2 linked regions of the Cricetulus griseus genome follow. The protein of the gene in region 1 purifies or fractionates together with the protein of each later gene. This does not show direct contact. Links are inferred from orthologs where the notes say so. Each region holds a gene or a part of one and is shown in the gene's direction. Other genes may lie near its edges.

Region 1 (4,531 bases):
AACTCCAGCAGCCACTAATGTTTCTGTCTCTAGGAACTTCTTACGGTGGCACTACATTTAAATGAAACTCAATCCTTGTGACTACCTTCACCCACCATGCATGATCTATTCAAGGTTCATCCACGTTGAAACAAATTGAATAGAGAATTCATTACTTTCTGGATGTTATGTTTTAGAACATATGCTATTGTATCCAGCCATTGGTAATCCAGCCATCAGTTGATAACTACATGAGTTTTTGGCCGTTGTGATTAATGATGCTATGAAGACATGTTAAACAACTTTTTAGGTGGACATGTCTTCCATTTCTTTTTTGTTTTTGTTTTTTGTTGTTTTCCATTTCTTGAGTATACTTAACAAGTGGATCTGCTAGATCACAAGCTAATTCTCTGCCACAAATTTTACAAACTACCCAGCTATTTCCCAAAGCACTGTAGTATTTTGCAATCCCATCATTAATGATTGGGAAATTTTATAGTTCATTTTCAGAAAATAAGGATGTTATGAAGGCCAAAGATGTGTGCCACCATCCTATACCATTTCTCCTTACAAGGAAAAAAATGGGAATACATTTTTGGCATGTATACAGGTAATAAAATGTTACAGGTCCAAATATATTAGGCAAGTTAATCTCCCAGAGCCGCCTTCTTTCACAAATGGGAAGCATTAATAACATCTGTCTTTCAGCCTTGTGGTGATTAAATAGAACATAAAGGTACTTTGCAACATTGATTATTCGTGATTCAATCCCAGGCAAAGATTTAGTGATAAGGGACTAAATGATGGATCCCCCCCCACCCCTCCCCCGCGGGAGGGGCTGCTGAGTAACGCCTGGGACTGCAGCTGCCCGAGCCACGCAGGATAAATTTTTACAGCCCAATCACCCTACATTACGCTCTCGGGAGACAGATTCCTGCAGCCTGCTACTAAGCTTAGGAAGTCAGCGCAGAATAATTTTTTTTTTTTTTTTTTTGGTGATAACTGGCACTCTTATGACGGCTGAAGTAAAAATGAAGGGACAAATGGAACACAAGCATCTATCCCCTCACTTACGTCTCCAGTCTCTTTCTCTGCACCTTCCCCAGAAGAAGAACAAATCAGAAACCCGAGTCGTAACAAACCCTAAGTATAAAACCCCCAATGGTCCTCACCTCCGCCCAAGACTTCCCTTCTGGGTCCCGGGAAAAGACTGCGAAGCTTACCTGGTGTGCGCCTCCGGCTCTGCTCGGCTCTGCCCAGGCGGCTCCGGAGGGGTAGTAGGCATCGCCACCTGCGCCTTCTCCGGGCCAGGTGGTCTCGGCCGGGGCGCCCCCGCGCCCTCGCCAGGAAACTGGAGGCTGGGGAGGCTCGGGCCGAAGAGGAGGGTATAAGGGCGGAGGTACGTGCACCGGGACATCGCCACCCCCGGGCCCATAGTAGCGGCCGTACGAAGGGCCGTCACTGGGGCCGTAGCCCGAGCGCCTCAGGGCCGACATGGGCTCCGCTGCCGCGAAGCGCTTCCCGCCCCCCACGGCCGGCCCATTGCGCAGGCGCCTGCGGGCGACAGGTACTGGCCGGCGGCGAAAGGGGTCGGACGGCTGCAGCCAATCCCGAGCAAGTCCCGCCCCTTGCACGCCGAGCGCCGAGCCTGGGATGGAGCGTACCCCTCACTCTGGGGCTCGGAGCAGGAAAGCGGAGAGACACGGTACTCGTGACGCGCGGGGGAAACGCCTGTCTCCCCGCCCTCCGTCCAGTCGATCTGGACTCCACTTCACTGCCCCGAGAGGAAGAGACGCTGCCCACCACCGCTCGCCCGGCACGCCTCTTTCTGTGGACGGACAGGCGATACCGGAAGTGGGTGGGGTAACTTGAAAGCGCTTCCGGCGACTAGCGGCAATTGAGTTGCAGGTGAGCGGCGGGTTCCCGTCCGTGTCCCGCCGACGGGCGACTGGATGCCCTCGCCCACCGTGGCTGTCCAGGGCAGCCTTGCCTGAGCTCAAAATGAACTATATGCCCGGCACCGCCAGCCTCATCGAGGACATCGACAGTGAGTACCTCTCCCCGGGGGAAGCCTGGTGTGGGACCTTTCCTCGAGAGGGCTCCCCTCGAGACGGAGCTTCGAGAGTGAGCCCTGGCCCCGGCGGGCTGGTCTGCCTTCACAGCCTCGGAGCCCATCCCTAACCTGCCTCCCCTGCCCCTGGACTGGGGACCCTCACCCTGTGGAACTCCTTCCGAGGGGCGCAGCATCCGACGTGCGAACTGTGAAGTGACCCAGGCGACTTCCTTCGTGTACCCTGCCTTTCCTGCAAGTTATACTTGACGGCAGATGGTTGAGTGCTTCTAGGAGGACCCACCAAAACCCGAAAATGTTAAGACGGCAGCAGTTGAATTTAATTAGCAGTCAGCGCAGGTTTTCTGTTGTGTAGCCCCTTGCAACCTTCTTTTTCTATGAGGGTCGTTAGCGCTTTCAGATTAAAGTGGGGCAGGTGTCAGCTGTAATAACTGACTTTTTTAGAAAGGCGAAGTCTCTTCAGACTTACTTTTTTTCTGTTCGACAGCTTTGCTTTTCCTGAAAATAGGTCAGTTCTGTATAAACCAAGAGGATACAATTTCTTTTAAGGATTTTTATTGTTTATATTTGCATGTCTTGCATGTACGTGCACCGTGTGCGTGCCTGGTATCCACGAAGTCAGATACCCTTTTCTTCATCAAATCCTCTGGAATTGGAGTTGTTTTTTGTTTGTTTGTTTGTTTTGAGACAGGGTTTCTCTGTGGCTTTGGGGGCTGTCCTGGAACACACTCTGTAGACCAGGCTGGTCTCCAACTCACAGAGATCTGCCTGCCTCTGCCTCCCAAGTGCTGGAATTAAAGACATACACCACCACTGCCCAACCTGGAACTGGAGTTAAGGACAGTTGAGAGCCACAGTGTGGGTGCTAGTAACCGAACTCATCCTCTGTAAGGGTAACATGTGCTCATTTGAGCCATCTCTCCAGCCCACACTTTAATTTTTACCCCTAAATTCTTACCTGGTTCCTCAAACAGCTTTTTCTTGTTGTTTTGTTTTTTTGAGACAGGATTTATCTGTAATATCACTGGCTATGCTGGAACTCCCTCTGTAGACCAGGCTAGCTGCCTCTGCCTCCCGAGTGCTGGGATTAAAGGTGTGCATCACCACTGTCCGGCCTTTCACACAGCATTTTAAAAGCAACATTAAAGAAAAAAAACAAGATGTATATGAGTATGTATGTCTGTGTACTCTGTGCTTGCCTGCTGCTGGGGAGACCAAAAGAGGAAGTAGCATCCCCTGGAACTAGAGTTATAGGGGTTGTGAGCCACCATGTGGGTGCTGGGAATTGAACCCGGGTCCTTTGTAAGAGCAGCCAGTGCTCTTAACCACTGAGCCCTCTCACCATCCCTCTATTGATTTCTTGGTCTCTCTAACACTAGTTCTTGCTAATTTCCTTATCTTTCTGGACATTACTGTTTTCTAGATCAGGTGGTCAGAGCTGCCTGTTTGGTCTGTTTTCTCTAAATCTGTAGGCATTATAGACCTATTTTAGCATCGTAACTCCTATTTTCCATGTACCAGTCTTCAGTGTTTTCTTATTCCTTTTGAAGTTAAAGCTTGCCTCTAATACTTTTCTGACTTTAACTCCTGTTCTTTCCTTTAACTTTGAGACAAATGTTAATATACTACTTTTCCTCTGTATGCTTTATTTATTAGATTTTTTTTTTCATTTTGCTTTCCCTTTTCATAGACAAAATTTATCCTTCTAGGTCCAACTGGGATAGGTGTAGTTTCTTTCTTAAGTAAGATTTGCTTGATTGTGATAATTAGTTGTAGCCTAATATGACTATAAATTCCTTAGGGAAGAATCATAGCTCCTCTCTTCATATAGAAAGTACTTTATGCTGGGCATTGGTGACTCACACCTTTAATCCCAGCACTCAGGAGTCAGAGGCAGCCGATCTCTGAATTTGAGACCAGCCTGGTCTACAGAATGACTTTCAGGACAGCCAGAACAAAAACCAACAAACAAAAGTACTTTATGCATAGCATTAAAGAAATGAGTGGTTAAAATCTTGTATGCTTTTCTAATATCTGGCTTATTCTAATCCTTTACTGTCACTCTAAAGTTATCTCTTCAGAGAGAGCTCCCCTCCACACTTGGTATAGCCACTTTGGTGTGTTCTTCATTCTACTATCATGCTGTCTTATATATTATTCTGTTGTATTTGTCACATGACGTAATTCTACCACTGAGTCTTTCCAACACTGATCTCATCTAAATCCCAGCCTGCCCTAGTCTTCCCTCCCAAGTCTTACAACGAACACCACCCTAAAAACATTAGAAGAGGGTCCAGCTTAAACAGCTAGTAACTAAATTTTTATTGTTACCATATAAGCTCACTGGAACTGTCGCTTTTGTTTTAAAGATCTTTTCTCCTTTCCCCAGAAAAGCACTTGGTCCTGCTACGAGATGGAAGGACACTTATAGGTTTTCTAAGAAGCATCGATCAGTTTGGTATGTATTGTTATGAACTCACC
Region 2 (4,321 bases), on another chromosome or scaffold:
TGAGGAACACAGTACAATTCTTTTGAGATAAGGTTTCAAATAGCCCAGCTGATCTCAAACTCATTTTGTAGCCTCAAATGAGCTTGGATTTCTGATCCTCCTGAAGCCACACTTGGGTGTGCACTGCTGTGCCCACCACTGTGGTGCCAGAGATGTTAATGCACACCAGGCATGCCATCAACTGAGCCAAATCCTCAGCTTCCAGTTTGATTTACAAAGCAGCCTGTTTTAGGGACAGGGCATAGCACTTTTCTTCTCTGCAGACAGTTATTTGATTTAAATGTGACTTTACTTGTGTTCTTAATTTTATATTTTACATTTCAAGAGCCTAAAATGCTGTCTTATCAATGTCTGTAGTTGACGGTCTTCGAGTCAGCTGAGGTTTTACAGAGGATAGAAAGATATGGCTGTTCCTTACCAAATCTCAGCCAGTTCTCTGTCTGTGGCACCAGTCACTGGTCTGTTTCTTTCGCCATTCACTAAGAGGCTCTTAGGAAAGGAGGAACCACTTTCTGTCTCAGGAAAAAGTTCTGCATTGTAGGACCTGTAAGATCTAACAGGGTGTGTAGCTGTTGTTTGAAGGTCTTATAACTGTGTTGATGATTAAACATCAGAAACAATTAAAATATAAATCTTAAATACAATATAAAAGAGAAATTAAAATATAAATGTAAAATATAAATGAGAGCATGGGTGTAGAAAAAAAGGAATCAAGTCTTCCTGTAATCTCTTCCTTCCATAAACAGTCAGCATACACTAAGAATTCATGCATTATCCCCAACCAAGTTCCCCCACAGCACTTAAATGGTATCTGCATGCTGTTTCCAATTAAACTAATTTGTAATGTCTTTTTACAATTGGCGCCATTGTAATAGAGTTGCTTTAAATTATTTATATTTTTGTAGCAAAATTGCTATGGAAACAATCTCTAACAGTAACTTAAACTTCATACATTTAATTAATATTCAGAAGTCGGTTGGGAGCTTGAGGCTTTTAACTTTTATTTGCTTTAAATTATTTAAGGCTATTTGGGGTACTTAATAGCCTATTATTTTAATCGTAAGTTTCTGTTTCCTGTCATTTTTAAGGTATTCTTTACTGTATTGGAATCTCAAAAGATTACTTCTAAATTTTTTTTCTTGGTTGTTTTGCTTTTGATTCGATTTTCTGGCAAAAAAAAAAAAAAAAAGACGGCAACATCAGAACACCGGCATTTACTTCAGCCCCTGGATGCTGAATTCACCACTGAAGAAACCAATTCTTGGAAGTGAGCGTTATGGAACGGCCTGATCCTTTTGGTCCCCGCGGGCTGCCGTAGGCAAGGAGGCCGCTGATTGGGTGAGGCAGCGAAGCGCGCTGCCGGGGGCGGTTTCGGTTTTCGCCGCGCGCGTCCGCGGAGGCCCGGCCTGTGAGGGCTCCGGATCCGGCTGCGAGGTGAGCCCGCGCGCGGCCCGGGAGGGAGGGGCGGTGGGGCGGGTGGGTGCTTGGAGCGGAGCGGTCGGCCTAGGCCGCGGAGGGCCGGGGCGGGCGGGGTTGCGGCTGGAGCCCAGGCCGGCCTGCGAGCAGCGGAAGGCCGTCAGGGCCACGCGGCCTCGCGCTCCCGCGCCGTGCGGTCCTGCCGTGCGCGCGCCGGGCGCCGGCTGTGTCAGCCCGGGTTAGGCGGCCGCCGCTCCCGCGCCCCCCTCCTCCGTGCGCGCTCGAGTCCCTCCACACGAGGACACGAGGAGCCGGGGAAAGGATCCCTGCTGGGCGCTTCCGTCTGCCCACTCCTCTCCTCCTGTGTGTGCCTGCTTCTCTTTCCGCTAGTACTACCAGAAATACTCGGTCTTCTGTCTACGTTAAACACATGCAGCCAGGTGTAACTTTAACATTCATTGCTTTTGTTTTGTCATTGCCTGGGTCCCATAAGTGACTCCGGTGTTTCCCCGATGGCTTCATCTTAGCGTCCATGCGATCCTGGGATGCACTTCCCGCCCTTGACTCTATTTCTCACCATCTCCTTGGACAAGTTCTCAGAGGAGAAGTCATTGGGTTAGATAGTTCTTGCACGTTGCCGGGTTGGTTCTCTTTAAAGTGTTAGTAAATTACCTCGTTCGTGTGTGACACCGGTTCTTTCACCAAATCCGTGAACACGCCTCCTGTGTTTCTAACAGTAGCAGAGTACAGCCTCTCTTTGGAATCGTTACTGATCTCGTTTAAACTTGCACGGAGTTTCTCAGTCTGGCCTTGAACTTTGGATCTTCCAGCAGTTGTGGTTCCGGGGTTACTTCAGGCATTGTTATTTTTTATTGTAATGCCTGTCGTTCTGCCATCAAGGTTTTCCTGCCGAATCTTCGTAGGAGGGGCAGGGAGAGAGAGAGAGCTGGTATTAACTGTGTGTGTTGGTATTACTGCACAACTTAACCACGTGCTTACTGGTATTCTCTCTCTCTCTCTCTCTCTCCCTCCCTCCCTCCCTCCTCCCTCCCTTCCTGTCTCTCCCCTCCTCCTCCCCCGTGTGTGTGTGTGTGTGTGTGTTGTGTGTGTGTGTGTGTGTTGTGTGTGTGTGTGTGTGTGTGTGTGTGTGTGTGTGTGTGTGTGTGCGGTGTGTGTTGGTATTAACTGTGTGTGTGTTGGTATTACTGCACAAGTTAACCAGATGCTGGAACAGAAAGACATAGTCAGTAACCATCTAGCATAACTCCCTTATTTTTCAGATGAGCCTGGGGCCATGAGAGGTGAGATGGGTAGCAGAGGAGATTAGAATACAGGTTACCTGCCTCCCAAGTGAGTACCCTTAACTACTGCATCAGGTCTTCTCTCACTGAAGGGTGGCCTAATAGAATTTTTTTTATTTGATTTTTTTTTTAATTCCCTGGCTTGCTTTCTCCTTTTATAATGAAGGACTGGAAAATAGAAAAGTCACTTTTTTTGTGTGTCCAGAACTAGAAATTTATTAGAATGCCAACCCATTCAAGATTTTAATGGTTGTTTTCAGGTTCTCAGTGTTGGGATAAAATACTCCTGATAAGTAAGACAGTTGTCCCTCAGTATCTGAGAGGGACTGGGTACAGAGCTCCCAATATTAAAAAGTGCATGGATATTCAAAGTTCCATATGTGTGTTTGCATATAACCTATGCAGTCTTCCTATGTTGTTCACATCATCTCTAGATCACTCACAATGTGTAATAGGATGTAAATGGTTGCAATGGAATATTGCTTAGGGAGTAATGACAAGGGAAAAGCCCTTTAGCTCTGTAACAGGTAAAACCATTGGAGCTGTAATTGCAACTTCATGTTACTAGATGTTGGCTGGATACACAGATAAGGAGAGGTGACTAGTTTATGTACTCATCATCTGGTTCTCATTTACATCTTGATTATTCTAAAGTACCTTGCTTGTTGTTTAAACCAGAAAATAAGGTTTGAAGAGGAGGGGAGGAGGTGGTAGTGGCAGTCATTCTGTGAGTTGACACGTTGCATCATATAGTCCTTTGTTGTAAAGGACTAGACTCTACACCAGTGGTTCGCAGCCTGTGGGCCGAGTCCATGAAAGACCCTTTCATGGAGATCACATAGCAGATATTTACATATGATTCATAACAGTAGCAAAATTACATTTATGAAGTAGCAATGAAAATAATTTTATGGTTGGGGTCACCACACATGAGGAATTATATTAAAGGGTTGCAGCATTAGGAGGGTTGAGAACCACTGCTCTACACTGTAGACTGTTGAGGGATGTCCTTGGCTTCTCTTCACTAGAGTCTGATTCCCGCTTTGACAATACATAATGTCTGTAGACATTTCCAAATGTTCCTAGAGGGTGGGGCACAAAAATCACCTTTGGTTGAGAACAACTTGCTCTTAGGAATTACCGTAGGCAACTTGATGTCAAAGTGCTTATGGTCAAGCCTGGCAACCCGAACTCAATTGCTGAACCCCACTTAGTGTAAAGAGAGAACAGACTCCCAAAAGTTATCCTGTGGCATATGCTTATTGCCCCTGCCCCACTAAATAAAACAAATGAATAAAAGCAATAAAAACAAAAAGCAAAGGACAGCCTTTTGGCTGAGTTAGCTACAGCAATCTGTGTCTGAACAGGCATCTTTGTAGATGTGGGTGTCTTGCCTTCTAAGCAAGTGCCCCTGCTTTCCTTTCTTGTATCACCTACTGGTCATTCATGAAGGTCTTACTGACTAGCAGGGTTAGAGTAGCTGGACCTGTGGTGTGTAGGTTGCTGAGGAGGGATTGGGACAGGGCTTTTGTTTGACACTGGCTTTGAATGCTTCTTCTACAGGCTTGCTCAGTCTGTTTAGGTGCCAAGGCTACCTGTCCCCT

What was found.
Region 2: the proteins of Lsm1 (region 1) and Lsm6 purify together in Homo sapiens (co-immunoprecipitation; 3 studies listed by BioGRID and IntAct, counting the BioPlex papers as one, with this or other methods). This does not show direct contact. The link is inferred for Cricetulus griseus from reciprocal best matches to the Homo sapiens genes LSM1 and LSM6.

What each region holds. Positions count from the first base shown.
Region 1 is NW_023276807.1:57,996,509-58,001,039, reverse strand, and holds the start of Lsm1 (U6 snRNA-associated Sm-like protein LSm1), read left to right. Parts: upstream 1-1,646; 5' UTR 1,647-1,980; coding exon 1,981-2,026; intron 2,027-4,439; coding exon 4,440-4,508; intron 4,509-4,531. Other genes in the region: Bag4 (BAG family molecular chaperone regulator 4), read right to left, coding at 1,203-1,475. UniProt on the Homo sapiens protein: Plays a role in the degradation of histone mRNAs, the only eukaryotic mRNAs that are not polyadenylated. Probably also part of an LSm subunits-containing complex involved in the general process of mRNA degradation.
Region 2 is NC_048596.1:154,693,587-154,697,907, reverse strand, and holds the start of Lsm6 (U6 snRNA-associated Sm-like protein LSm6), read left to right. Parts: upstream 1-1,296; 5' UTR 1,297-1,434; intron 1,435-1,837; exon of another isoform or gene 1,838-1,856; intron 1,857-2,696; exon of another isoform or gene 2,697-2,766; intron 2,767-4,321. UniProt on the Homo sapiens protein: Plays a role in pre-mRNA splicing as component of the U4/U6-U5 tri-snRNP complex that is involved in spliceosome assembly, and as component of the precatalytic spliceosome (spliceosome B complex).